4 linked regions of the Lonchura striata genome follow. The protein of the gene in region 1 purifies or fractionates together with the protein of each later gene. This does not show direct contact. Links are inferred from orthologs where the notes say so. Each region holds a gene or a part of one and is shown in the gene's direction. Other genes may lie near its edges. The genes, in order: HDAC11, ATG2B, GCFC2 and PAXBP1.

Region 1 (7,651 bases):
CTGAGATGCTTGAAAAACATGTTTTTCTTTTGTTTTGATTGCATTTATTAGTCATATGGAAGATGGTGAGGAAAACAGAAGGGATCAGCTCTATCTGAAATTTATGAAGGATCCCTAGCTGTCAAGCTTCCTGAAAAGCAAGTATTTCCTGATACCACCTCTACTATTTTATATATAAATATATGCATATCTCATGGTTCTTCACCAGTAGGAATTTTTATTGCAATACAACTATGAAATGTTATCTTGTTCTCAGGAAAATAAACACAAATCACATGTGGGTGTGATGCAGCAGTACGTGTCACAACCAGATTGTGGGTGGTTTCTGACAGCTCCTCTGGCCCCACACCAGAACACCCCAGAGTCCTGCTGTAGCTACTCAGAGCTGTGGGCTCCTTGGCACTTCCTATTCTTGCTGCTGGGTTTTGCCTTTGCTTCACAGATCCCTGGCTTCCTGAAGAGTGTTCTGGGCACAAAGCAGAGCAAACACTGTGGCAGAATCCTGTCTCTTCCCTCTAATTTCTGTGACCATTACATCTACATCTGGATTAATAGTAATAAAGTCAATAAATAAAGCCAGTTATCTGATAATTTGTGCCTGAATTGTGTCGTCATAGTTAAGTAAAAAGTCCTATCTGGTTATCACAAGACATCCCTATCTAAACTTGTGAACACCTCATGGCACCAGTGAGAAATTTTAGCCGAAGGCCTTTGAAGGAGTTTCTAAATAGTTCTGAGCTTAGGAAACTCCAAAGCTTGGAATAACTCCAGGTTCTTTAGTACTGGTGCACATTGCTTTCTCAGCTGTGCTCAGGTGAACACCGAGACTGAAATTCTGCCAGGACATCTCTGGAGGCATTGTTAGAGTGCAATTTATGAATCTAAAACTAGCACAGAAACAAGAAAATAGTGAAAAACAGTAATGGATTTAGAAACATGCTGAGTATGTTTTGTGTCATGTTGGTTCTCCCCACGGGCCACGCCTCATTTCTTGAGCCTTGGACCTCTCTTGGGGCAGCAAAGGTGTTCCAAGTCATTGCAAGTGATGATCGTGCTGCTGGTAGCAGAAAGTCCCTGCTCCTGGTTATAAGTGGTCAATATCAGGCTGCCTGAGGCCCTGAGCAAGCTGATCTAGTGACTGACATCCCAGTCAGCAGGGGGTTGGAATGAGGTGACCTTTAAGGTCCCTTCCAACCCAAACCAGTCTGGGGTTCTGTGATATCTTTAGAACATAAAACTGCTTTTCCCTCCCCAGCCCTACTTCCATCAAGTCCAATACCTGTGAAGCAATGGTAAATGGGAAAGGTGCAGGAGGCCATCAGAAACAAAAATGTCCTGAAATCTGAGATTTATTGTTTTCCTGGTAGTCTAAGGATACTTTTAACCATTTTCTCAGTGTTTATTACACTTTTCCCATCAGCTGAGTTATGTGTTTCTTTTGAATATACTTGGAAAAGGTGGGGCAGAAATGTGTGTTGCACTTCACCACTTGCATATTATAAACAGACTAAATACCATTCAGATTATCAAAGCACTTAAAGATCAGAACAGGTTAGATATGTCAAAAAGAGCAGATGTTTACAGAGTATGAAAGTAAATCAAGTCTCATGGCTTCCTCTACTGGCCATCAGCTCAAGGCACTGAACTGAGTCCCTCCAGTGAATCTGAAACGGACATTTAAAGACTATTTTGGAGAAACCCTTGCTGGGTTTTGTATCATCTGAATTCTGTTGCAATAGCCCACATCTCTCATCTTGAAAATTGCACAGCACTGAAGGCACTGAGCAGCGATTTGTGGCTCATACCAAATTGTTAAGGAGTGAGGATTTCAGTTAGGTGTAATTCAGACAGGGAGACGGCCTTAGGCTAATCAGAGTGAAGACAACACTGTAAGGAAAATAATCTTATCTTTAAGGAATATTCAGGCCTTACATTTCCAGTGGCTCTGAGAAAGGGAAGAAAGCTGTATCAGTTTCTGAGCTATAAAAAGCACAGACCTTTTTCTGCTCTGCTGGATTACAGGAATCAGTAATTTCACATTTTCAACACATCACCGAAGAAAATGCCTGATCTCAGGCATGTCACACCATGGCAGATCAAAGGCCCCAGGATCAAAGAGATTAAAGTAGCATGGTCTCTCAAAATATTATTTCCTGTTTGAAAAACACCAATTATATTACTGTAGAAATTCATGTAATGAGTTACTATTCAAAATTTTTTATAGGAAAATCAAGCCTCAGTGTAAATTTTAACAATCTCTTTTCTATATGTTTCTTTACAAGTGTTTCATTCCTGATTTTATCAACAAATGTCTTGATGTTACCTGTTTCAAAAGCCTCAACTCAAAGAGGTTTGAAAGCAAACTATTAGTGACACGGCTTTTATGTCAGTCTCGAAGGTGCCTTGCCCTTTAATGATGTATAATTAGCGTCTCACAGCCGAACCCAAGGGAGCTGATTCACACTCTACGGAGGACAGGCTGTCGTGACAAGAGAGAGAGAGCTCCTTTGGAAGTAGCTCAGCTGCCTCCGTGCAGCGGAGGAGAGCTGCACATGTCAGGCCTGATCAGATCCACCAGGGTTATCCCAACTCCTGCAGGGTTTCAGCTCCAGGCACTAAGTGGGAATTTTCAGGGAAGTAATACTGTGAGTTTGCATCAGCTCTCAATTTGGCATCACATTGCTTCATCTGTAGGATTTAACCCAGAGGTTTTGTCAGTGATCCAGAGTCCCAACTTTCTTTGTGGCATGAATTTGCTAGCACTGACTTTAGCCCATCATTTCACTGTTTCTTGATAGGGAAAATCCCTTATCCTGTTTCAACATTCATCATGTTCAAGTGATTTAACCATCCCAGACCTTCACCACTTCTTGCAGTGGGCCCTTAGGACAAGAAAGACCTCAAGGGGCTGGAGTGTGTCCAGAGAAGGGAATGGAGCTGTGGAAGGGTTTTGAGGCACCCGGAGAGGCTGAGGGAGCTGGGAAGGGGCTCAGCCTGGAGAAAAGGAGGCTCAGGGGGAACCTTGTGTCTCTGCACAGCTCCTGACAGGAGGGGATAGCCGGGGGGTCGGGCTCTGCTCCAGGGAACAGGGACAGGAGGAGAGGGAACGGCCTCAGGCTGTGCAGGGGAAAGTCCAGAATGGATATTAGGAAGAATTTCCTCATGGAAAGAGTCATCAAGCACTGGGCTGCCCAGGGGAGTGGTGGAGTCCCCATCCCTGGAAGTGCTCCAAAACAATTTAAGACATCCAAGAAACATGGAAACTAGTCCATCAGTGGATTTTTAATTTAAGTAAGAGTATAAATGAAAATAAAATAAGAACATAGTGGAAATTAAGTCCCGTGAAGATCTTAAAACATTAACAATCTATGTTTGTAGCTTGTTAACTAAATACTCAAACTCTAATTAAGTCCCAAGTAGTTAGGAACAAGGAAGAAAAGGTAAATGTGCTGGAGGAATACTGAGTGAGCACACAAAGGACCAGAACAAAATAAATGTTAATTAAAAGATAATGTCAAAGCGATAGAATGTTTTTGTGGTGTTATGGTCTCCTGCTGCTAAATAAATACCAAGGTGAAGCCCAGGCATCCATCAAAACTGAATGCCAAGCCAAAGCCAATATATTTGAAAAAAAAAAAAAAGACATTTATCAGGGACTCTTATAAAGCAGTATTACTCCTCCAGTGAAAAGAGTGCTTCTGGGCATTCATCCTGGGATTCATAGATACTGCTCCTATTGATGGACTATTTTTCATCATATTATTGATTTAGCTATACAACTGTGTAAAAATGCTTGTTATATATATTCAGGCAGGATTAGTTAACTATGCTTAGAAATGGGGTTTTGACGTCAAACTCTTTTCTTGTGCGCCTGAATTCAGTGGTGTTGTCCCTGGGGTGAATCCTGACCTGTCAAAATCATTAACAGTTCTGTGTGGCAAGCACATTTCTCTCCCTGTCAGGATTTTTCATAGAGGTACACAGAGAGAAATGAAAGAGAAAACAATTTCTATTTCTGCTCCTTGTTTTTCCTATGTGGAATGTGTTTGGAGAATTGTTTACCTGGAGTGAGTACTTGATTGGATTCTGGTGAGGATCGTTTGAGCCTGATAGCCAATGCAATGCAATGCAATGCAATCCACTTGTGTCTGGACTCTCAGGATCACGAGTTGTGTTTAGAGTTAGAGTTACAGAAAGGAGTATGTAGTTTTAGCACCGTCCTTTTATATAGAGTTAGAGTTACAGAAAGAAGTATGTAGTTTTAGCACCGTCCTTTTATATAGCGTATTAATGTATTTTAGCCATAGTTATAATAAAGAAATTATTCAGCCTTCTCAATTGAGTCAGACATCGCCATTTCTTCCCATTGGGTTCGCCTGCATTTACAACAGTTCCGCTGCTGTTAGGTAGGATCACTGTTTCACCTTTGCTTTCTTCACCGTGCTGTAGACCTACTAGCACCTACCGGTACGAGCTGTCAATTCTATTTTACAGAGAGGATGGTATTTTCCTACCCAAAGACACCGTTAGTGCGGGATCGCCTCGAGGCCGTTGCGTTTCCCAGGTCAGCCCAGCGGCTCGTCCGGCACTTCCCTTCAGCGGCGCCGCCGGAGGTGCACGCCGCGGCCCGCGGCGCAGAGCCGCCGCTCCCATGTACGAGCCGGGGCTGGCGTGGGCCCGCCCCGGGCCGGGCGGGGCCGGGGCCGCCCCTTCCCTGCGCGGCCCGGCGGAGGCGGGGATGTGAGTACGGGCAGGGGCGGCCGCGGGGCCCGGGGACAGCGGCGGGACGGCCCGGGCGGGACGGCCCGGCCTGCACTGCCCGGCCTGCACTGCCCGGCCTCGGGGCCACCGAGCCGCAGGGCCGGGCTGGGGCTGCGGCGGCGCCCGGAGCCCCCGCGGGCCCGGCCCGGCCCCGCCCCGGCGGGAGGAGCCCCTGGGAGCCCCTGGGAACGCGGTGTCCCTGGGAGCGGGGAGTCCATGGGAGCGGGGAGCCCCTGGGAGCGGGGAGCCCCTGGGAACGCGGTGTTCCTGGGAGCGGGGAGTCCATGGGAGCCCCTGGGAACGCGGTGTTCCTGGGAGCGGGGAGCCCCTGGGAGCCCCTGGGAACGCGGTGTTCCTGGGAGCGGGGAGCCCCTGGGAGCCCCTGGGAACGCGGTGTTCCTGGGAGCGGGGAGCCCCTGGGAGCCCCTGGGGACGCGGTGTCCCTGGGAGCGGGGAGTCCCGCCGCGAGCACCCCGGGCTCCGGAGCAGTGCTGCTGTTTTCCGGCCGAGGCTCCGGGCCCCGCTGTCCCAGCACCTTCCCCAGAGGCCGCCTTGCATCGCGGGGAGGGCCGCGGGAAGGCTCGGGGAGCCCTGGCTCGCAGTGTGGGCGGTGTGTAGGCGCCGGGCTGCGGGTCCTGGGGAGAAACCTCCATTGTCCTCGTGTTTCCTTTGGCTTGCTTCTAACAGGGTTTTCAAAGGGTGTTTCTGAACGTGTTCAGGCTGGAAATAAGGGTGTTTCTGTTTGTATTGTTCACCTGACAAAAAGACGCTTGTGTCTTGCACAGTATGTGGCAAAGCCTTTTCCATACTTGGCATTTCGGGGAGCAGGAGAGGCCTCGGCATCTGTTCTCTCCAGTGACGAGAGTTTGGGGCACAGAAGGCAACCAGCAGGTGGTGGAATAGGCTAAGTGTGAACGCAGAATCCCATCTCAGCCTTGGTTTGTCCTCCTGACCCACGTGTGCACACTGGTGTCCACAGACAATTGGTGTTTGTTTTGTAAACACAGAGCATTTAATAAATACTGGTGGATTGGCGAATGGCTTGTGAAGGAGGGCTGTGACCTGGCTTTGCTGTGTTTCCTGGTATTGGGAAAATAAAATTATTTGGAGGGGTAGGCAAGGAAAATATTGGTTAAAGGTTACAGGTGTGGCATCTGGTTCTGTCCTCTGCAAGTAAAAACCTAAGGCCTATTAGTTTGCTCAGGTGGTCACAAAGTAGTTTGTTGCTTTCTAGGAAAAGAGCATAGAAATCTTTCCAAGCTTCTATTGTTAGAAGCATCATGGTTTGTGTTTTGATACAGAAATTAAAATAGTAGTCTAGTCTGGGTGCACCTTTGAAGGTAGAGGTGTTGATTGACACATTTGGAAAGACGAGGGGAGAGAACCAAATGTTGCCATTTTTCTGTTGGAATTACCATATTTTGAATTACAAAGTCGGTATCAGGGCTAATTTGTAACTTGAGCCTTCAGTGTCAAACTGGTAGATGAGTTTTGAAGTGGTGACTGGTGTGTGTTTGCTTGCCAAGGCCTCACAGGACGGAGCTGTACGAGGATCCCCCATTGGGATGCTGGCCCATTGTGTATTCCCCAGACTACAACATCACCTTCATGGGACTTGAGAAGCTGCACCCCTTTGATGCAGGGAAATGGGGGAAAGTCATCAATTTTTTGAAAGGTAAAAACATAACAGAAGGTGTCTCTTAAACCAACATTTGCACAAAATCTAAAGAAAATTATGTGGTTAGTACAGACTTGTATTGGGCTTTTCAGAGACCTGAATTGCAGTGTGTGGCTTCCTATAGCCTTGTGCTTCCTGCCTTTACACCTGGTGTAGCAGGAGCTGGGGCATTCCTGTGGCTGGTGAAACACCAGGTGTTAATGATGATGTAACTTACTCAAGCTGGACTGCACACAGAGCTCCTCAGGCTGAGGGAGAAGTGCTGCTGTAGCACTTTAGTCCTTTCTTCAGCAGCCTCATCCTATTGCTCTGATAATGTTTAGAAAGAGCTTTGAGGTCCTTCTGGTACAGGCAGAGCTTTTTATGATGCTTCTAATTATTGCTGTTTAAACCATTTGTAGGATACAGGTAGAAATGCATTAAGGAGATAGAAATGTAAGATCCAGGGGCAGGATCAGGGCTTGTGAAATCTTGTAATCTCTTTATTTAAAGCAAGAACTTGCTCATTGAGGGTAAAAAAAAAAAAAAGGCTTTTTCTCTTTCCAGGACAAAGGCTGTTGTTTGTCCCAAAGCCAGACCTCTTTTTATGTGGGCCTTATGACTCCTTCAGCTGATGATCCTTTGCAGTTCAGGATTGCCCTTCCCACTGCAGGCTGACTTTTATTCTTTTAACTGAGGTCAAATAATTTTAACACTAATAACTTAGTAGCTGAGTTTTGGCTTTTTCCTCTACCAACCTTAAATAATTTAGTGCTGTGTTCCACAACACTTTTCTTAATTGATCAGAACTTTTGCCTTTCTGTTTCTTCTGTGTAAAGCCTTTTCCTCCAGCTCCTTTTCTGTGACACGTCTATTCTCAAGTGTCTCAAGCTTTCACAGAAAATCAGTTTTCCCAATTGTTTCACTGTCCTTTGAAAGGAGGAAGAAGCCCCAGGATGCCCCAGAGCACTTGGTTTGCTGTGGCTGTGTAGCAATTCCTGGCAACAGCTGACCCTCCCCTGTGCCTTACCACTGAGCAGATCAGCAGCGAGCATCTTTGCAGAGTCCCTTCCTCCTGGAGGAGGAAGCTGGCAGCAGTTTGGCTCTGTGTGACACCACTGCATGAATGAATTGTTCCTCAAGCCTCAGTCAGGAGAAACAGGAGCTGGCCAAAACAAATGTCGCAGGTGCTGTTCTTGTATAACACTTCAGAGCAAAATCTCTCACTTGTCA
Region 2 (7,342 bases), on another chromosome or scaffold:
TTTTTCTAAGGGCATGATGATTTCAGTTGTTCATTCCCAACTTTGCAATAGCTCCACGCCACACAAGAAAACTTCAACACACTGGTCCATTTATTTAATTCTTTAGTCATTGAAATTGAACAAGTAAATCAGTTGCAAGGAAAAATATTCAAATATAAATTTGCTGAAGTACATTCTCCTCACAGAGGACTAACCACGTGCCACAGACCTGTGTGCAAAAGAGAGCCTATGAACAATTTTTGGAGCATGGAAACATACCCTAGGGCACTGGACTAGTTTCAGAAGTTTCAACCCAAAAAGATAATAACTATGAAGTTAAGCTCTTGAAAACAGAAGCACTAATTACAGTTCTCCTGTCATAGTTGCACACTGCTAACTCAAAGCCATTACAAAAGCTCTGCTAGGCTTGTCTGATCTATATGACTAACCACAGCAGATAGAAGCCAGCATAGCTCTACTGAAGTCACTGGAATCTGTGAAAACCAATAAATCCCTAAATGTGGCTCCAAAAAAGCTACTGCTTGTACTTGTCACAAAAGCATAAAAGAATAATGGCAGGATTGTTTAAATAAAGACACACAAATACACAATAATACAAAAAGTGTGAATATCACAGAATGTCAGTTCAACTGTACAAGCATTTCTACCCAACTCTAATTTTTAAAAAGTCTACCATTCAGTACATACTTGAAAAGTTATAGCAGAACAATTTATAAAGAGAGTTGTACCAGTTTTTAAGTACAAAATACAAGTTATATCTTCCAGTTTGTATTAGTCTTAGCAAATTTCATACAGCCTTTGGTTTCAAACCAATACAATGCAATTAACATTACAGTGCTTAGTTTAGTAGTCATTTGGAGAGGACACTGTACAATTGAGGGAGAAAACGTGAAAACTGGGAGTACCAAAGTCCTGTATTATAGAAAGTAAAGGTTGAATCAAAAATACTCTTGAGTATATCCTGTACATCATGTAAATACACATTCAAAGTAGTAAACAGGCCTTCCAAGCCTCTCAAACAGTTGCAGTACAGCATACATATTTATAGCATAGATAACATCATTTTTAGGAAATGTGTAGCCCATTAATTCTGTGCTTAATCATTTGCATTTCGGACAATACATTCATATATAAGCAGCTCATCTCGTGTATTATTTGGAGCTTGCTGGTTGCCATAGACAAGGACAGATCAATTAATGCTGAGCCTTGCTTTTAACTCAGATACTGCCACTATATAAGCAATGCTCAACTGTTGAAGAACCATCTTTCCAGCTACAAAGCTGACAACTTTCATGTTTATGTATAGCAAATCAAGCAGGAATTCTTTGCAGAAGTTTTTCATTAATTATTTCATTAACTGGGTGGAGCAAGTAGTTACCTTCTATTTTAAAAAGAAGGCATGAAAATTATCAGTAAACACATACACAAAGAATTACTACTTATATCTATAACATTCAGTAGCTATTTTTTTAGTTTTGAATACTAAGACTTGGAAAAGAGACCAAGGTTTTTGAACATTGTATGGAGCAACTTACAGGTTCATTTACAACGGAAAGTAAAATTAAGAATTTTTTCTATTTATAAAATTGGCTTTTAATAATCTTGTGATATATGCAAAACCACAGTAGCAAAATGTTATATAATATACTTGTTATAACATATAAATAAATGTTATATAATAATGTAGTAGCACAAAGTAGACGTTAATGCAAGAAATGAAGCTTAAGCAGTTTGTAAGGAAGATCTCAGTGCTTCATAATAATTCCTTCTGGCACTAAATCTTCCTCATATCTGGGTAAATCATGACTGACTTTCTTTCTTCAAAGCTTCTAGTCTTTGTAGTAACGCATTTCCAAACACCTCTCGATATGCAGGGCTGAGAGAGTCCAACAAGGAGTAGACAGTTTCATGATATGGAGTTTGCAGTCTATCATCAGTCTGATCAAAATCATAAGCTACTACCTGCAACAAAGAATTGGGTGGTTAAATTTCTGTGGTGATGATCACCTTGGTACATGTAGCACAACATTTAACTTTTCCAGTCAGGGTAGTACAGTACAATGTTTTGTAAGAACAAAAAATGCCAAATTTAAAATCACAGTCTCTGCTTTCTACTACTGAGCTTACTGGTTATACAGCATTTAAGACAATTTCAAATACCTCTTGTCCAAAACTCAGAATGTTAGTAAAATACATACTTTGAAAAGAAGTCTCACATCTACATGTCTGTGCAAAAATTAAAAATGGTGCAAAAAAATTGTATAGACGTTGTATTACTGATTTCTTTGGGTACCTGAGAAACCCAAAAATTTACATACCTGTAACAAATTACTGATTCTATCTTCACCATTTTGTGTCTTAAATAAAATCCTGATTTTTTATTAACTTCCCTTCTTGCTTTGTTAGAAGTAAATAGCTAAAGTTCCCTCTTCTAGAAGAAAACATGTAGATCAGGCTTTCATAAAAGTACAAGACCGATATGTGTGGTTGTCAGTGAAGTATTTTTCTAGGCACCTTTTGAATATGGTCATTGTTCAAAACAAAGAAGTTTAAGAAATTACAAACAAATTAGTTTACCCTGAGTCCTGCTTCAGTGAGTTCCAGACAGTATCTGTTCCTTTCCCTGGTTTCCACATTGATATATGCCACATCCTCTGCACAGGGAAGGGTTTTTGACACAAACATGTTGCTGACAGCAAACAAAACATCATTTACAACAGCTTCGGCTTCTAGTCTCATATCTTTCACGTCTGTTCCTTCGAAGTCTCTATAATCAGAATCCTCTTCAAACCCTGTATTATTGGGCAACTCCATAGGATTGCAATCAGTCTCCATTCTGCATATAAAAACATTTATTTTAGACTTATTATACCACTACACTCAATATATAACACCATAAAACACAAGTTATATTTTAAACAAATGTATTTAACATTGTCCAAAAAAAAAAGGAAACTATGAGACCCAGTGACTTCCATAACTCATGAAATGACAGTCTAGAGAACTCAAACATAGGATATTCAGAACAAGGGCTGAAGAAGATTATATAAACATTTAGAAGTGGTATCAGTATCACTGACCCTAGTTTTTCTCAGGCAAGTTAACTTGCATTCTGTGGTATAGGGCTCTGTTAAGATCCAGTGGTCATTAATTCTGCACTTTGCTGATCAAGAGTGTAGGAGGAAGACAAGTCATGCCTGCAAAAAGCTAAATCAGTAGCTACAGAAAACAAAACCCTATCGCTGGTGCATTTAAGGAAAACTTAGAAAAGTCTATGAACTAAATGGGTTATCAAAGACCTTCGGAATTAAAGGCAGCCGTTTGTTACCGTCACTAAAGAATAAAGCTCCTGTTAATTTTTTACGCACGACTGCCGATCCATTCCAGAGACACAGGCTGCTGGTCTTCGCGAGCAAGTGGTATCAAAGGGCAGCCCCAGCGGGGCTATCACCGCGGCTCCGGCAGCGGCCCCGCGGGTCCCAGTGTCGCGGGGAGGCCGCAGCTGACACCTGTGGAACCCGCCTGAGGCAGCAGGGAAAGCTCCCGGGCAAATGAGCACCGCTGCCGGGAGGAAACGGGGGCTGCCAATATCCGATCCGCAACTCCACGGGATCCGCCGCTTCCTGCCAAATCCCACCGCCGACACACAAACAAATTCGAAGGAAGCTGAAGGCCATAGGGGAGGTGGATACCGAGCCTCCCGCTCCCACGGACCGCACGCCCGCCGCGCCCCGCCGCGCACCCACCAGCGCCGGCGGACGGCGAGGCCCCGCCGCCCGGCCCGCACGGCTCCGGACGCGGCGCCGCCCCGCTCGGCGGACAGCGCCCGCCCCGCTGCTTCCCGGGCCGCTCCCTGGAGAGGCGGCCCCGGCGCCGCCGGCCGCACGACGCCTTCCGGCCGCGCCGCCCTCTCCCGCGGCCGCTTCCGCGCCCGCCTCCTCCGCTCGGCGACGCCACTTCCCGCACGTCACGGTGCCGGTGGTCGGCGGGGGGCCGCTGGGAGGAAGGAGGCGAGCGGCCGCGATCGGCCTGGCCGCCCTCGCCGGCGGCGCAGAGCTGACGGGGAGGGGCTGCCCTCCCGCCGGACCCCGGCCCTTCCCCGCGCAGCGCGGCTGCGGCAGCCCCTCCGCGCCCGAGAAGATGGCGGCGGTGTCCGAGTGAGGATGGAGCTGCCTGTCAGCGCCTCTTCGCCCTAGGGCGGGCAGCGCTGCCCCGCCGGGGGCGAGGGGCGGCGGCGGCGGTGCCGCCCGGCAGCGGGGAGCCCCCGCCGTAGCCCTCGCCGAGGGGCGAGCCTTGGCCTGGCGGCGCCCGCTCGGCTCCTTGGCGCCGCCGCTCTCCGCCCGCCGCCCGGCCCCGTCCCGCCGCCCGGCCTCGGCCCGCGGCGTGCAGCCGCCATGCCGTGGCCTTTCTCGGAGTCCATCAAGAAGAGAGCCTGCAGGTACCTGCTGCAGAGGTACCTGGGCCACTTCTTGCAGGAGAAGCTCAGCCTGGAACAGCTCAGCCTGGATCTCTACCAGGGCACCGGCTCCTTGACGCAGGTCCCTCTGGATAAGTGGGTAAGAGATGCTGGCGCTTCACCCCCTCGGCTCCTGCGGCGTCTGAGGGACCAGCTGATTCTCTGCCCCCGGCTGCCACCCACTTTATTTTCAACACCCAGCCTCTTTTATGTAAAATGTTATAGCCGTAATTAGCATTCAATCTTGGAAACTGTTGTTTGATATTCTAGCACTTAAGAAAAAAAAATCGCGGCATTTATTACAGATGCATTTTTCTAGCCACACTTGGATTGCACAATTTTTAATTATGAGAAGGGAAACAAAAACTGAAAGAAGGCAATAGCTGCCGATATTTCAGGGAGAACAAGCTAGTGTACCCCAAACTTTTAGAAATCCCTGTAGTTAATGAGAAGTATGTTTACTGACTACTAGAGATGGTGAAAACAAAGTAATCCCTGTGGTATCTATGCTTTGTCTTTTCTTGGAGACATCTTGGTTCTTAATGATAGTGTTATGCTGAGCTTAGTCTGTGTAGTCCTCTAAAGATTGTCTCCTCGTCTTGTAGTGGTGAAAGTACTTGTTGACAAAAAGAAAGCTGATTTTTGCTGGAGTTTGCTCAGCAGGTGGCCTGTCACACTCCAGTCCTGGCATGTATGTTTTTTGAATATATCTATATTTATACACACATGTATATTTCCAGCCTACTCTAGAGACACACCTTTGGATCACTGTGTTTGTTATATTTTGTAAAGGTTCTTGGTTTAATTGCCAGCATTACTGAATTCTACCTGTGAGTCGAGTGTCTGTCATGAGGACACTTAAGCACTGCAGTGAATCAGTCACTGACTTCTAGGGTAGCACAGATCATGAGCTAGGTCCTTTGCATTAATATTTTCCAAACCACCTTTTTATTACAGTATGTATTGGTATTAGGCCATACAGAATACATTTTAAAGTACATGTGAATATATGATGTTTTCAGGTAATGATTTTTAATGTTGTTAGTGTGAAAATATGTTTGAAAGTGGTAGGGGTCAGACGCTTGCAGAAATGCTCAATGGTACCAGTGTCTGAGTGTGGACTTTTTTTGTTGTTTGCTTGTTTGTTTCTTCTTTTATTTTCTGGCTGTGTCTGCAGCTTGTTTTCTGTGGCAGGCTTGCAGTGAGGCTGCCTCGCTTTAATTGAATTGTTGTGCCCTCTAGTGGGTAACGAGCACTCTTTGCGAGTCAAAGTTATATTATTTAAAATATAAAATACTTAATAACAAAGCAGTTATGGGCCAGTACTAAACGAAGTTTGCATAACGTGTACACAGTGATTAAATGAATATACTGTAATGCTTAGGTGATCTTCCCCATTTGTGGATCAGCAGTTTTCTGTTCCACTTGTAAACAATTACATGTTTGAGGTTCTCTGCACGTGACTCTCATGTATGACAGATTGCAAAAGCAGATGTCACGGAAGTACTACAGCTCTTTTTTCCCCCTAGTCACTGTAACCTTGTTCTCAATGAATCACCAGGATGACTGTATTTTTACATGGCATCCATTTTTACAGACACTTCTGTTCATCTCAGCACTGTAGATACTTTAGCCAACATTGTGTTTATAGATTGTAGAGATATGTAGGAATTCCTGGGGCTATTAACGTCAAGCTTATGGCTTTTGGGCTGTGGGTTGTTCAGAAGAATCAGGATGTAATGCATGAGTTTGTGGTTGAATTTTAGTATACATTAAATACTACTTTTGTGGACTGTTGATCAATAGTTTGGAAACAAGTCCTTATGTGAAGGCTGTGCTTCAGTTTTAAAATTTCACTTGGAATGCTCCAATTACTTCCTTCTAGGAACATCTGGCCTATTTGTGAAGCAATTTAGCTCAAGAGTGCTTCAGTTTTTTTGCTTTTAAATAGTAAACTTCTATTTTAAAATAATAAGCAGTGTACTAAAATACACTTACTTTTTATTGCCATGCACATGGGTAGCAAAAAGACATCTGAGTCAGATTTATTGAAATTATGATAGCTAGTTTATTTCTTGCTATAGCAAATAATTTGTAAATTCATTCAAATAATTTTAATGAACATGTGATATTTTAAAATAGTTTTCATCTCTAACAATTATTTTTGCCTTATTTTATGCTATTGCCATATCTGTAATTCTTAAATATAAGCCCAAATATGTTTGAGCTTTTATATTATTAATTTTATAAAATTTTAATGTCACTGAATTTTAGTTGATTATTTGATTCCTGAATAATTTCCCAGTAGGACTGTTCAGGTTCTGTTTCTTTAAAGTTTGTCTTTTGCTGCTGCTTGAGTGGACTTTGGAACAGGAACTAGAAAAGCTGAACATGCAAGGCAAGCAAAATCCTAAAGGCAAGGTTATTAAGAGCATAAGGAGAGCAACAAGTTAATGTGATGGGAAAGTTGCACCTGGAGATAGAAAACTAAAAATAAAGAAAATATGTTTACAGAAAGTTACATTTTAAAAATTATTCTATATAATTGGAATATAATTTTAAATACAAAAAAAAGTGGACAACAACTTTTAAATCCTTATTTCTTTCAAAACTTACGATGCTGAATTTAAGCATTTTCTCAGGTAAAATCAGTGGCCTTGTTCTAAACTCAGGAAGGTCAAAACCGTACTTTCTCTTGCCAGTTGAAGATTGTCCTTTTATTACAACCACAGTCTTTAGTAGGGTTTTGTTTACATTGGAAAGTTGCACTCTCTGGATTTGGTATGCGAGTAAGATTAGGATTTGTTTCATTAAGGCAGCCTAACTACTTCTTGTCTAAGAACTTAAATTTTAACTACATTTTAAAATCAAAGCACAGGCAGGAAC
Region 3 (7,061 bases), on another chromosome or scaffold:
CACATCTTTATTTAAAAATGGAGGCATAAAACAGAACAGGATAAACAAAAGGACAGGTTGATATTTGCTTTCCACACCTAAAAGAACAAGATGCATTTCTGATATCGATTCTGAGTAGCAATTTATCAAAAAGGTGTAGAAGGCACAAAGCACACACTGCATCAAAAATAGAACTTCTAGAGGTGTTGGTTTGGTTTCTAAACCAGAAGTCCACACAGGTTTTAAAATAACAAATGGCTACTGTATTCATTTTGCAGGATTTTCTATTACTTCATAGCTGTATGAATTAAAATATTCATGTCCCAACTTTGTTCCCTGCCAAGCACTGATATTATTTAGTAGTGGATGGGGAGCTGGACTGTATTTGTTCAGTGTGGCAAAGGCTTCTTTGCCTACCGCACTGAAATTATTTTGAGATTTACAGAACATCTATGTAACCATAGAGAAAGCAACTTTCCAGTCAGGCCAGACTATGCTGTGAAGGGACGCAGTGCTGACTCATGCAGACTGAATTATGGCAAATAAAACTTTGCCAACTGCTGAGCAGACACAAGGGTTTTACTTGCTATCCCTAGCTGCAGTGCAAGCAGGCAGAAATGCTCAAGCACACAGGAATTTCACAAGTGCCAAGTGCTGACAATACCAGAGTAATGGGGTTAAGCAAGGTTATTTGTTGCAATTTTACAATCCTTATGCCACAACTAGTAAATAACATTTTGGTAAGACAGAGTTGCAGGTTCATTTCAGACACATTTTTTTCTCCATGCTCAAATTTTGATGCAAGCCAAGAAGCTACTCTGATCCCAATAGGCTGGGATCCCTACTGCATTAGCTACAATTTTTTTTTTCCCATAAATCTTTCACTTTTAGGAGCTAAAACCCTGTTATTTCATACATACTGTTGGGTTCTGAGGACCAGTACTACTTTTGAGTAGTGTACCTCTTGTGTACCAGTTTTGTGAGGTTCTCTGGAATTACATGTTGCTTTTAAGGGATGAATAACATAAATATTGTGGAAAATTCGAAATAAATCTTCACAGATTTCAGAATGTTTCATGAGTTGCTGCAAAAAGGAAGTTTTTTCAGATTTGTGGATTTCTGAAAAGATGCAGGCATGCTATAAAACAAGTACATACTATGATAAAGATAGGCAAAACAGTGTCAAACAGTAAAGTGAGTTTATGATTAATAACGTAATTAATAAAAACAGGGATTCGTTGAAAGGGCAAAGAGATCACTGTAGTTTTAAGCTGGTTTATGGAAGTCTACACAAAAGCTCTGTGTTGATGGAACACAGAAGTTTGCCCTGACTGTAGCTCTTGCTTGCCTGGTGTAACGCTGAGTGTTCGAGGTGCTGCTGCCCCCATCTGCCTGACATCCTGCTGGACTTTTCCATGAAAAACGGAAGCAAAGGCAAATTCTTCCACCAGCTGCAAGAAATATGATTGTACTGTACCTCAAATCAGTGACAAAGTTGCTGCATTTAGGGGGTTGGATCTAATTTTGCAGTCTTTCCCCCAAAACAGAGTTGACCTCTTAGGTTTTGGTTTTTTTTTTTTGTGGTTTTTTTTTTTTTTTTTTTTTTGCGGTTGAAAATTGTTTTTGACGAGAGGTAAGTCTGTCAGAGCAAGTAACTTTGTAACTTACATTGACATTAAAGTTTAACAGGGTTCAAGCCAGAGCTGAAATCAATGGAGTGTGAAAAGAGATCATACTATCAGCTATTAATGCTTCACTTGAATTTTCATGCAAGGTTTGTTTTGCTTTTATCCTGCTTCTTGCTTTGGAAAGAGAAATCTATAATAATTTGCTGGTCTACTTCACTGATCTACTCTGTGTCTTTCTGAAAATTCATTTGCCAGAGGAATTTTGGTTACATAGTCACTAAAACACTTAAGAACAAATGATTCTAATATTTGTGACCAATAAATCCTCACCTGTTAAAGTCTGTTAACTTTAACCTTCATGCAAAAGGCAAAATTATCCTTTTGTCCTGTGTCAGGAAAAGGGTTTTTACTGCCCAAGAAGATAAATCCATTGGCACTTGGCATTGACAGTCCTTCCAAGAAATACTGTGCTGCGTTGCTGAGGCTGAATTTGATTTTCCTCTTCTGAACTGGGATCATCATGGATTGGATGCCACTGCCCAGATCAATATCTTGGCACTTAGTGAGCATATTAACTGGAAGGACAACTGCAAGCATGGCAGTTTCAACCTGCAGGAAAGACAAAGAGTACAAGGGTTGTGTTCCCTGTTTCTGCCATGCTGAGGTCCTCAGTCCTACCTGAGTAGTGCTTACTAGACTGACAGGATTTAAAATCAGACGAAAAATAAACTTTAATACAGAGACACAACAAAGGAAAGAAGCCCTGCCATTATTTTAAAGATGTTAAAGGCTCCTGGTAAAACTCCCATCTTTGCTTGGCTTGATGAAGCCTTCATTAGTGCTGGAGTGGTAAATGAGAAACATGGATCTTATGGGCATTATTCCAGGTAAATCCACATCTGCAAACTTTGCTTTGCCCAGGTCACAATGGAACAACTCAATACACCTGTGCATCCCCAGACTATTCTTGACTTTATTCTTCAGTCAGAGAAACTACCCAGGGAAAGTCCATATAAATTCCACAGCAATAAGGCAGTTTTGAATCATAGCCTGCAATAAGTCAATTTAAACACACATCCATGGACAGGTTTAATTTCAGCATTTGCATAAGTACTTTATTTATCCACCAGACCCCGACCATTTTAGAGTGTAGAAAATAAATAATGCTGCAAGGTGAATTGTGCTTCCTGAATTGTTAAAGTTTTTATTATCATCCTTATTCACTAAGTAGCCTTGGGTTTTATTTAATAATCATTCAGAAGCAGTGCTGAATAAAAATATATTTTAGCTGATCTTGGGTTTTTATGTTATTCTTACTGTAACTGGTGCTTCACAAATGCAGCTTTTTCTTCACAAGATTCCTGAGGCAAGTTAATATTAGCATCTTCATCTTACAGATGAAGAACAGAAAGGTGGAGCAATTTGAGCAAGAACATTTCAGACATTTGCTATTCTTGGATACTTCTCTTGGGACACAAAAGCTTACTTGAAGGACTTGCTCTGCCTGGTTTCATGTTTTCATTTGGAGTGGGATGCACTTTCTTTCCACAGAGCAAACCACACACAGCTCCAGTCAGCACGGCAGAAATCAAAGGCTGGTACAAGCTACAGTGCAACTCCTTTCCAAACAAACCAATTTGTCATCAGTTGTCACATTCCCACCTTCCTTCTGTTCCCAGCCATATGTTCCCCTCCCCTTCCCCCAGCACTGCCACCTGCCTAGCTCCTTCTGTGAGCTCAGCCTGAGGAAAGGGAAAAAAAATGTGTGATTACTTTTTGACAACGAGCTACAGAATGAGTTTCGCATTTACAATAATAATAGAATCAGAAAGGCTTGTCTTGGAAAGGACCTTAAAGATCATCTAATTCCATGGGCAGGGACACCTTCCACTAGTCAGGTTGCTCAGAACTGCCTCCAACCTGGCCTTAAAAAGCGTATTTATTTGTTTTTAGTGTATGTTACTACTAATTCTAAAATAGATAGTTTATTTGTGTAGCTAGGCATTAGCAATTACATTTCAATTTACTATTCATTTACATAATACGTAGCAATCACAAAAGTTTATAAATATGCATTAGTAATTATCGCCAAATAACTTACATATAATATATATATTAATAATATATATATAATATATATATATAATTTACGCATATTAAAATATCATATAATGATACATTATTTATAAATTATATTTTATAATACCGGAACTCCATACGTTTTCTATGGTACTGTGGAAGAGGGGAGCACCCACCCAGCACAGCAGCCCGTACACTGCGAGGCTGACGGCTAGTTACATTTTTAGGCATCAGTGAGTCACCAAAAAACGCCTTTTACGTCTTTTCACCGTCCCCTTCTCGCGCTCCATCCCTCCGTCCCGCCCACCGCGGGCGGGGCGCGCCGGGGTCGCGGCGCGTGCGCGGCGGGACGCGCGGCGGGATCGCGGCGATTCCGGGAGCGATTCCCGGAGCGATTCCCGGAGCAATTCCCGGGGGCCATTCCCGGCAGCGATGTTCCGCCGGCCCCCGCGCAACTTCCGCGGCCGGCGGCGCGCAGCCTCCAGCGGCAGCAGCGAGGGCGAGCCCGAGCCGCGGGCGGAGCCGGCCGCAGCCCCGTCCCCGGACTCCGGCGCCAGCTCGCCCTCGGAGCGGGGAGCGGAGCCCGCGGCGGGCGGGGCCGGTCCCGGCGCGGAGGGGCCGCTGCCCGCCGGGGAGCCGGCCCGCAGAGCCGGGGCGGGCGCGGGCCCGGGGCAGCGCCGGGCCGGGCAGGAGCTGCTGAGCTTCGGCGGCGAGGAGGAGCGGGAAGGTGAGGAGGGTCCTGTGTGTGTGTGTGTGTGTGTGTGTTGCCTTGGCTGCCCCCTCAGCGAGCCCCTGCTGCCTCTCGTGTCAGGGGAAGGGCTCCTGGGAGCGTTCGCACCATGAACCCGCGCTAAAGGACGGGCTAGGCCTGGTTAGTCTGCTGAAGACTGCGGGTCTTGTCAGTCCATCTGGATATCTCGAACGCGGTGCCAAGAGAATGGTGCTGGACTCACTTCAGTGATGCCCAGCAATAGGATGAGGAGCAATGGCCATAAACTAAAACACAGTAAGTTCCACCTCAACATGAGGAAGACCTTATTTACATCAAGGGTGGCAGAGCACTGGAACAGCTGCCGAGGGAGGGCCGGCAGCCTCCCTCTCTGGAGACATTCCGAACCCTCCTGGACACATTCCTGTCTCCCCTGTTCCAGCTGACCCTGCCCTGGCACGGGGTTTTGCCAAGGTGCTCTCCAGAGGTCTCTTTCAACCCTAACAATTCCGTGATTCTGTGAAAAGTACTTTGATAATTACTTATGTCCACATTGTTTCAGCTGGAAAGCATCTGGAATCTTACAACTGGAGAAAGCCAGTACTGTGTAGTTCCATGATGAGCAAGATTAAATAATGAAACTTAAGTGTTTGATTGACACTTCTGGGCTGTTACTGTTGTGGTTGATGAGAAGACAGCCACCTTGGTGGGGACAAGCTGCAGAGAGACCCTGCATTTCAGCAGTGCAGTGATGCTGTGTACAGGAGGCTGACCTGGAGTTTTTACCAGCTGGTCGATCATGAGTGATGAAGCTGCTGTAATATTTAGAATTAATCCAGCCAGAACTGAAAGACTGAACATAGCCCTTACTGCTGTGGTCTTGACATGTTGGTGTTTGGTCATAGGTTGGACTTGATCTCAGAGGTCCTTTCCAACCTAATTGATTCTGTGATTCAGAACTTAGGCTGTGCACACACATAGAGTTTACATGCACTTTTGTATGCAGTACATACATATATATGTGTGTATATTGTTGGTTTTATTAATGTTACTCAGAATCACTTTGTTTTATCTGGTAGGTGAAGAGTTTTTTAAAGTTAAAAAGCCATCCTTCAACGAAGTAACCTTTAGAATTAAAAAGAAGGAAAGCTTACTGCCTGCACAGACAGAAGCTGAAGAAAGCAAAAGTAAGTACTTCTTTTAGTTAAGTATTTTATGAAATATGTGAAGAGTGATGTAAAAATACTGCTGTTAGATGTTTTTTGCTTGTTAATTGAATCCAGAATTATATTTACAATGTTGGTTTACAGGTTTATAATTGTAATGTATTTGTGCTGAAATCATTTTCAGTTTGACCTTGGTAAAAGATTATCAGAACTTGGAGGCTGTTCTTGAGAAAACCTGATTATGCAGAACCATGTACTACATCAAAGTTAGCAAAGTTTTGCTAAGTTTGTACCTCAGCATCATATGTTTCAAACTATGGGCCAGGTGTCCACTGCTTATTGCTGTCAGATTGCAGTTTATCTGAGAATTGGCATTGAGGGAAAATGTGAGCTTAGTAGCATTTTGTCTGATGAAACTTAATGCAAACATTATTAAATTCTGTGCTCTTACAGCATTTAAATGTTTTAATTGAATGCAGTCAAAAGCATTGATTATTCTGATAGTATCCCTATTTTCATTTAAATACAGTCAATTGCCCAGAGAGGCTTTGGACTCCCCATCCCTGGAAATTTTCAAGGCCAGGTTGGGTGAGGCTGTGAGCACCTAGGCTAGTGGAAGATGTCCCTGCCCATGGCAGGCTAATTGGAACTAGATCTTTAAGGTGCCTTCCAACCCAAACCATTCTGTGGTAAGTTTCCTATTGGAATATTTGGAGTTTGTGTGTTTTAGAAAGAAATTAATCTAAAAGTTCTCTTTATGTATTCCCCTTTTGACACCTCTGTCAATTCACAGATAAACCGTATATGCTACTGTTAGATAAAAGTAAATTAGATTGAGATTGGGCAAGAATTCCCTTTGAGGTTGTGATTCAGCTGAGATAGTAAATTTTCTTAGCAACTTCTTATAAAAGTGTATCATATTCTTATAGAAGGTGGTACATTCTATTGTAATCTTATGATTTACTGAAACTGTAGTGGCAGATGAAGATAAATCAATACTTTTAAAGGATTTGATAATAACTGGAGACAAGATAGATATAAATGTTTATAGTTTAGGAGCGCCCTTATTGTTAATACTTTTTAAAAAGTGCTTTCTAAATGCAGTTTTTCAAGTCAAGAATCCAAATATGCTGTGAATAATCAGAATATTATTAGTTGTTATCTGAGAGCTGATCTCATTGCTTTTGTACATGTAAATACACTCTGTGTCTCAGAAGGACTTATAGTCTTTCTATGGGAAGCATCACCAAAGATGCTTTTATTCAATTCAAGAATTGTCTTGTAAATTACTGTCTTGGAATGTTACAATTTGACATGTTTTGATGAGAACAGCTGGAATTAGACAAGTGACTGGTCTTTGCTGCAGCAAGGTGTAAATAATTTCTGGTAACCAGTTATGGCACATCATATTCCAGCAGCTGAAATAATGGATCATACTTTTTTTCCCCTATAATGAAGAAATCTGTCAGTTGGAGTCTGGAGTTGGCAACACCAAAGATA
Region 4 (7,301 bases), on another chromosome or scaffold:
GACAACATGACCTGCTTGGTGGGTGAGTGAAAGGCTGTGGATGTTGTCTACCTGGGGTTTAGTAAAGCCATTGACATAATTTCCCACAGTTTTCTCAAGGAAAAGCTTTTAGGTCATGACTTGGACAGGTGTGCTGTTTGCTAGGAAAAAAAAAAAAAAAAGCCTGGATGTCCAGGCTCCAAATGACACCCTAACTCCTCCTGACTTTGGCCAAATGTTCTTACTGTGGTACCAGTATTGGCTGTTCCCAGAGGGACCTGAAGCATGTAAAGGCCAGGCATTATATTTGAAAAGACAGCAAATACCTTTTCATTTGAATCACAGCAAACCTTAGTCTTTGTTTCTTACATGTGCCCTACTAGAGTGCCTTTGCTTCACAGGATGTTGCCTCATGATTTTTTTTAGTGTAGTCCTATTGCATTTCCTTGTGAAGCTGCTTTATGAGTTCTTGCAAATAATCTCACTGCTTATTTAGGACAGTTAGTCCCAGGCTAGCAGCAGAAATTCTAGCACTCAGTAGGTACTCTGTTGTGAAAACAGGAATGTAAAGGTGGTGTTTTGAATGCAGATTGTGGAGAAGCATACACAGGGTTTGAACAGCTGAGAGCCAGTTGTGTCTCTGCTAAGCTGTGACTGAAAATTGCATAGAGTCACAGAATATCCTGAGTTGGAAGGGACCCACGAGGATCATCAAGTTGAACCCTTAAGTGAGTGGCCTATATGGGGATTGAGCTCAGGACCTGGGTGTCTCTAGCACTCAGCCAATGTCAGCAACACCTTCAGCGCAGTCCCCTGCTGTCAGCTCACTGCTTCTGGGATCAGACCAGGCAGCTCAGCAGTTGGGTCCTGAAAGCTCCCGAGGATGGAGCCTGCACAATGGAACCTGCTCCACTGCCTTGCCTTGTCCTCACTGGTAAGCTTTTTTCCATGTATGAGCCTTAGCCTTCCCTTCTCCAGGCTGAGCATGGATAGTTCCCTCGCACTTCTCTCACAGTCACATGTGCCAGCCCCTGCTTGTCTTGGTGACTCTCCACTGGATCACTTCATCTGATCCATATTTTTTCAGGGAAAGGCTGCCACCTGCATGATGGATGTACTGTCATCTGCAATTTCCCCAAATGGACGGAGCTTCAACATCTGTGACAATGGCAAATTGCTCATGTTCTCCCATATGAGAGAGAAGAAATACTCCATGAAATGACTCTCATCTGACAAGGGAGGTGAGGCTTTGGGCAGATAATTTTCAGATGTGTTGCATGAGAAAGGTTGTCATCCCCTAAAAAACCTACACTAAGACTATTAAAATAGCCCAAAGTCTGCTCCTTGCCCATGTCTGCAGGTTTGAATTCTGTGAGATATGACTAAGGCTGGATCCATTCACACAGTACAATAAAGGCTTTGAAATAAGAGCCTTGCACTGGCAGCAGTCGATTACATGAAACTGAGATAAAATATAAGAAACCTTCTGTCCAGAGAAGCTGTGTCTGCTCCATCCCTGTGAGTGTCCAAGGCCAGGCTGGGTGAAGCTTTGAGCAGCCTGGTCCAGTGGAAGGTGTCCTTGCCCATGGCAGGGAGGATGGAACTGGGTTGTCTTTAAGGGCCCTTCCAACCCAAACCAGTCTGGGATTCCATGATTCTCTGTGCACTTAAGGGAATGGCTATCAAGATTCTGAGGAACCAGAGGAACTCTGAGGAAGTGAAGCTGCTGCAGTTTTAAAGAAAGACTATTTCTATTTTAAATAGTCATATTGATACAACTGTAATCAATGATGGAGCAGTTTTCTAGAAAGCAAAACTTAATTTTTCAGAAGACTTAAATACATTCCCACCCCCCATTACTGTGACCTTTCCCACTGAAATCAGCAATGTGCTAATGATGGAATTAATGGGGTCTATTTGCAATTGCAAATAGATTTAAGCACACTGGTTAATGAAAGCTGGGTACCGAACTCCATTTAACTCAGCCAGAGAACAATTGAATCAGCTGTTGTAAAGACATTGTTCCCTTTGTCAGCCCCTTGGCAACAAACCATAAGCCTTTTTCTCCAAATTACAAATATTTCCAGTGATACCTCTCATGACTGTCTATTACAGACACAGGCAAATGTGCTGAAATCACAGTAATTCCCCACTACCATGACAGCGGTGTCCAAAAATTTACACATGCAGCAGTAGCTGAGGATGTATGTATTCTGGCCTTGTTGGGAAAAAATGAAGTTAATAAATCCATGGGCTTTCTAACAGAGCAAATTAAATTTCTAGTTACTTTTGCCACTGTAGTGTTCTGAATAAGGCTGGTGCAAAAAGACATTTTATTCCAGTGCCCAAGTAAGCACTGCAGTTTGCTGTTTCCAGGAAAAAATTCTCAGCTACAGAAATCCACAGCTCAGATATTGTGGTGAGTTTCCCAGCAGCCCCGTTCTGGCCCAGCAGATACCAAAAACCTGCTACCAATTCTATTTTATAGGGCTTTGCACTACAGAAGTATTGCATTAGAAGCTCACAGAATTTTTCCAGAGTGTGAAAAACGCCCATCACTTGGTTTTTAAAATTTTAAAAGTTTAATAAGAATAAAATGGTTATAAAAATAGTATTACAATTAGAGTAATAAAGTTTACAGTTAAGAAAATTATAAGACAATAAAAAGCAAAGAATTACGGAGGTCCAGATGCTCTCGGACACTAAGTCATGAAGAGCATTCCTTGTGAACAAAGGAATAACCTTAAAACAATACACTTGTTGCATATTCATATATCTCATACATGATGCATAAATTCCTTGCAAATTAAGAACTTTTCTGGTTTTTATCAATTTCTTCTTCTTAATCTTGGTGGTTCCAAAAAGATGGAGAGAAGGTAGAAGAATATTTGTCTTTTCTGATAAGGAGGCTGTAACTTTCTATGGGCCCCTTTTGCTGACATCTCTGTGTGAAGAGTTTCTTGATTATCTCATTTTCTCACTTGAACTTGTAACAAATCCTATATTGCAGAATTTCTATTTTAACATTATGTTGTAACCTCAAACTACGTTTATCACACTGCTTAAGAGAATTAATACAGCATAACATTCTAACATTACACATATAATATTCATTGTAACATTTGCAAAAAGCCAATAATAAAATATGCATTTTTTCACACTTATATTAAAGAAAAGGCTCATCATGTGAGATGAGTGTGTTGTATAAAATTTATTATACCAGACGTAGATGCATTTTGGAGACGTTGCTCTTGTGAAAATATGCATTTTTCACACTTATATTAAAGAAAAGGTTCATCATGTGAGATGAGTGTGTTGTATAAAATTGGTTTTATTATACCAGACGTAAATGCATTTTGGAGACATTGCTCTTGTGAAAATATGCATTTTTCACACTTATATTAAAGAAAAGGTTCATCATGCAAGATGAGTGTGTTGTATAAAATTTGTTTTATTATACCAGACGTAGATGCATTTTGGAGATGTTGCTCTTGTGGAAAAAATGCATATTTTATTATTGGCTTTTCGCAAATGTTACAATGAATATTATATGTGTAATGTTAGAATGTTATGCTGTATTAATTCTCTTAAGCAGTGTGATAAACGTAGTTTGAGGTTACAACATAATGTTAAAATAGAGACAATGTATGTTGGGGGAGTTTGTTTTTTTTTTTTTTTTTGAATGAGATACTCGCTTTGAGGAACACTTAAATCTTTCCAAGAAAAGGAATTTATGGTTTTCTTATCAGAAGAAGCCAATTTCTTCAGGCCATGCTCAGACTCGAAAACGCCTTGGGGATTAAAGGAAACAGTGGACATACAACAGAGTTCTTGTTTTGAATAGAATGTATGCATAACCATGAAGGATATATGAATATGCATCAGGCTATTGTTTTTAAGGTTATTCCTTTGTTCACAAGGAATGCTTTTTGTGGCTTAGTGTCCGAGAGCATCCGGATGTCCGTAATTCTTTGCTGTTTATTGTCTTGCAATTGTCTTAACTGTAAACTTTATTACTCTAATTGTATTACTATTTTTATAACCATTTTATTATTATTAAACTTTTAATATTTTAAAAACCAAGTGGTTGTCGTTTGTCACGTAAGCCACCTCACGCTCCCGCCGCCCTCCCCCCGCCCCGCTGCCGGCACAAGATGGCGCCGGCCGTGAGGGGAGGCAGCGGGGGCGGGCCGGGCGCGCTGCCGCCGCGCAGGCGCCGTGCCGCTCCCCGGCCCGCCGCTGGCGGAGCGGGCGGCAGGGGGCGCTGCGGCGGCGCGGCCATGCTGGCGGGGCCGGGCCTGGGCCGGGGCCGCAGCGCGGGGCGGGCGGCGCCGGGGCCTGGCGGGGCGGCCGGGGGGTGCTGGCGGCATGTTCCGCAAGGCGCGGAGGGTGAACGTGCGCAAGCGGAACGACTCGGAGGAGGAGGATGAGGAGCGCGACGAGGAGCCGCCTCAGGAGCCGGCGGCCGCGGCGGCGGGGGAAGGGCCCAGCGAGGCCTCCGCGCCGCCGGGCGCCGGGCTCCTGCCGCTGCCCGCCGGCTGCGTGCCCCTCGCCCTGCCCGGCAGCCCCGCGGCTTTCGCCTGCGCCGCCAGCTACGGGGCGGCTCTCGGCTTGGGGCTGGGCTTGATGGGAGGCGACCGAGCGGGGCTGGGGGCTCTGGCAGCGCCCGCTGCCCTGCGCCCGCCGCCGCAGCAGGGCAATGGGCTGCCGGCTGCCGGGCGCCCCAAGGAGAAGAAGCGCTCGCGGGAGAACAAAGAGGTGCCGAGGGCCAGCCTGCTCAGCTTCCAGGACGAGGAGGAGGGTGAGGCAGAGATGGTTGCCTGGCTTTTGGGTCGTGAAAGAGAAGCGGAGCTGCCCAGCCTGCGCTGGGCCTCTCCAGGCCTTCCGAGCGAGCAGGATCCGTATTTGTTTTTTAGGGCAGTCAGGGTTCGCCCCGTCTTATGTGATCCCACATCGCCCCAGGCCGCCCAGGGGACTGAGAGCACGGGCCTCCCCCGTCCCCTGCGGGGCCAGCATGCTTCCAGCGGGGTTAGCTGTGGTGGAGGGGTTCAGATGCTGCTGTGTTGCTGGTGCATCGCTTGTGCTGCGTTTGCTGCGCCTGGGATGCCCCAGGTTCGTGCAGCCTGTAGCCTCCCCCTGGAGCCATCGGTGTTAGCTGAGGAGCATCGGTGCCGTGGCTTTCTGTCGAGGTGGTTTTAATCTGGCTGGTGTTCACATGTCACCTCGGACTCACTGCCTGTTGTACGAACAGTTCACAGTTTTGAGTTGTCTTAGAAGGAATTATCTTGAAATCACTGAAACTTGGTTTCTAAGAGTTGTGATTTGAAATCTTTATAGAAGGTGTAAAATTAGACTTTCACTAGAGACTGTGAAAGAACCCTACAATGGCATCCATTAATGGTTTTTTAATGGCATTTGTGAGGTTCCAGGTACAAAATTTAAAGATTAAATAAATAAGTATGCTTGACAGATCTCATGTAATGTTATCCAATTTCTCTTTTAAAGAAACGGAAGAAGTTTTCAAAGTGAAGAAATCAAGTTACAGCAAAAAGATTGTAAAACAGTTGAAGAAGGAATACAAAGAAGATCTTGAAAAATCAAAAGTTAGAACAGAGGTCAATTCTCCAACAGATGGTAATTGCAAAACTAATAGTAACTTCTGTAGTGGAAAAGATCAAGTACTGTAATTTAATTTATTGTTTTCAAAATGAATTGTTAGTCTTTTAGAGAATTTCACATTTAGAGCTGAAGTAAGGCACAGATGAAAGGTGTTACTTGAGCCTTAGGAATGCTGTTCTACATTGGTAGGAAGTTCTTTGGTTCTCATGTAGAAGTTAACATAGAAGGATGGAACTTCTCAGCTCTGTTAGATGGTTGTCAGTAGACATCAGTATTCTGAATTGCAGCTGTGTTTATGACAGATGAATTGCTTATTGAATTGGGAAGGAATTCCATTCATTTGAAAATGGTGCTTGTCTGACAAGATGTGTCCTTATAATGCATTTTCTTCAAAAAGGAAGATTTTTGGGGCGAGCAGAGTGATGGTCTTTGTTTTTAAGTTAATTGTTAAACAGCTACCTGTTTCAGGGCTTGGACCTTTGAGTATACTTGATTAAGATGATAGACTCAAAGTGTTGGAGCAAAAGGATCTGTTTACAATGTACAGTCCTTGAGAGGTTGAAATAGAGCCCGGGACTTCAATTTCATTTTACTGTTGGTTTTTGGGAAGCTCATTGGTAAAGTGTAGTGCTTCCTTTTCCACTTAAGTTTTTACATAAATTATGTAATGATATGAGCATGAGCTGGGAGGCTTATGATCTAAAGATTGCAATGATCTAGAGAAGCACTTGGGTGTTGAACATGGTCCCATGCAGGAAATACCCTTTTTAAATTGAATTAATTATTTTTAAATATTTTGTTTGCATTTAGAAAACCCACATATTCTTTCTTATTAGAATCTTTAAATTGCCTATGCAGTGGTGTGGGACATGAGCAAAACCAGAAATTATCATTTCTATGGCTAGTATTCAGGTCATCTGTGAAAACCTGGATTCTTGCTTCTGTCACAATGATGCTTAAAATACTACATTTTGCACGTGTCTGTGTGGGCCATGTTTGTTTCGCTCTCCCTAATTCATGTGGCTATAGTTCAAAGACTTAAAGACTGCTACTGAAAGAGCAGCCTGGATTCTATAAACAAGTGCTTGAGTCTGAAACCTCAGATATGTGCAGCTTGGTTTGGGTAGCTGGGTTTAATGTGCATTTTTTTACACATTATTATACTTGCTGCCTGTATCTGTATGTTACCCACCTAATGTAGGGTGTAGCCAAGAGGAAAATGAATGGTTCTTTTCAAATCAGTCATTTCTTGTGGAAATACTTGGTGTAACACAGGCAGTGCTTTCTCATTGAAAGAGATTTTGACAAGCTTGCACAAGCTTGAGTTCCCCCACTTTCTTAATACTTGACAATATGAAGAATGTTTAGTGGTTGGTGGGGCCTGCCTTGTCACATTTTATTTTGAGAAGATGTCAGTGATTTAATCACAATTAAGAAAGTGTATTTTCCTAGATCTCAAACAATAAAATTATTATTTAACATTTTCATTTGATTTTCACTTTTGGTTGTTATATCTTTAAAAAAATACTTCTGAGTGATCTTTATAAAAGGAGTAAAACATGGACTTTGCTGTCTTATCAGTTGAAGCACCACTAGAAAAGATAGGACAGAATAAGGATATAGGCCAAGAAGATGGGACTGCAAACAGTGAGCATGGTGAAGAAGAAATGGAAGTTGAAAGTGAGAAGGAAGAAGAAAAACCA

What was found.
Region 2: the proteins of HDAC11 (region 1) and ATG2B purify together in Homo sapiens (co-immunoprecipitation; 3 studies listed by BioGRID and IntAct, counting the BioPlex papers as one, with this or other methods). This does not show direct contact. The link is inferred for Lonchura striata from reciprocal best matches to the Homo sapiens genes HDAC11 and ATG2B.
Region 3: the proteins of HDAC11 (region 1) and GCFC2 purify together in Homo sapiens (co-immunoprecipitation; 3 studies listed by BioGRID and IntAct, counting the BioPlex papers as one, with this or other methods). This does not show direct contact. The link is inferred for Lonchura striata from reciprocal best matches to the Homo sapiens genes HDAC11 and GCFC2.
Region 4: the proteins of HDAC11 (region 1) and PAXBP1 purify together in Homo sapiens (co-immunoprecipitation; 3 studies listed by BioGRID and IntAct, counting the BioPlex papers as one, with this or other methods). This does not show direct contact. The link is inferred for Lonchura striata from reciprocal best matches to the Homo sapiens genes HDAC11 and PAXBP1.

Annotation. Positions count from the first base shown.
Region 1 is NC_134614.1:2,021,280-2,028,930, reverse strand, and holds the start of HDAC11 (histone deacetylase 11), read left to right. Parts: upstream 1-4,639; 5' UTR 4,640-4,651; coding exon 4,652-4,740; intron 4,741-6,287; coding exon 6,288-6,436; intron 6,437-7,357; exon of another isoform or gene 7,358-7,544; coding exon of another isoform or gene 7,545-7,605; intron 7,606-7,651. UniProt on the Homo sapiens protein: Responsible for the deacetylation of lysine residues on the N-terminal part of the core histones (H2A, H2B, H3 and H4).
Region 2 is NC_134608.1:14,163,071-14,170,412, forward strand, and holds the start of ATG2B (autophagy-related protein 2 homolog B), read left to right. Parts: upstream 1-4,330; 5' UTR 4,331-4,394; coding exon 4,395-4,556; intron 4,557-7,342. Other genes in the region: GSKIP (GSK3B-interacting protein), read right to left, coding at 1,801-1,962, 2,578-2,836, 3,369-3,382. UniProt on the Homo sapiens protein: Lipid transfer protein required for both autophagosome formation and regulation of lipid droplet morphology and dispersion.
Region 3 is NC_134605.1:107,009,565-107,016,625, forward strand, and holds the start of GCFC2 (intron Large complex component GCFC2), read left to right. Parts: upstream 1-4,060; 5' UTR 4,061-4,118; coding exon 4,119-4,413; intron 4,414-5,474; coding exon 5,475-5,582; intron 5,583-7,019; coding exon 7,020-7,061.
Region 4 is NC_134604.1:4,242,794-4,250,094, reverse strand, and holds the start of PAXBP1 (PAX3- and PAX7-binding protein 1), read left to right. Parts: upstream 1-4,283; 5' UTR 4,284-4,347; coding exon 4,348-4,780; intron 4,781-5,484; coding exon 5,485-5,613; intron 5,614-7,179; coding exon 7,180-7,301. UniProt on the Homo sapiens protein: Adapter protein linking the transcription factors PAX3 and PAX7 to the histone methylation machinery and involved in myogenesis.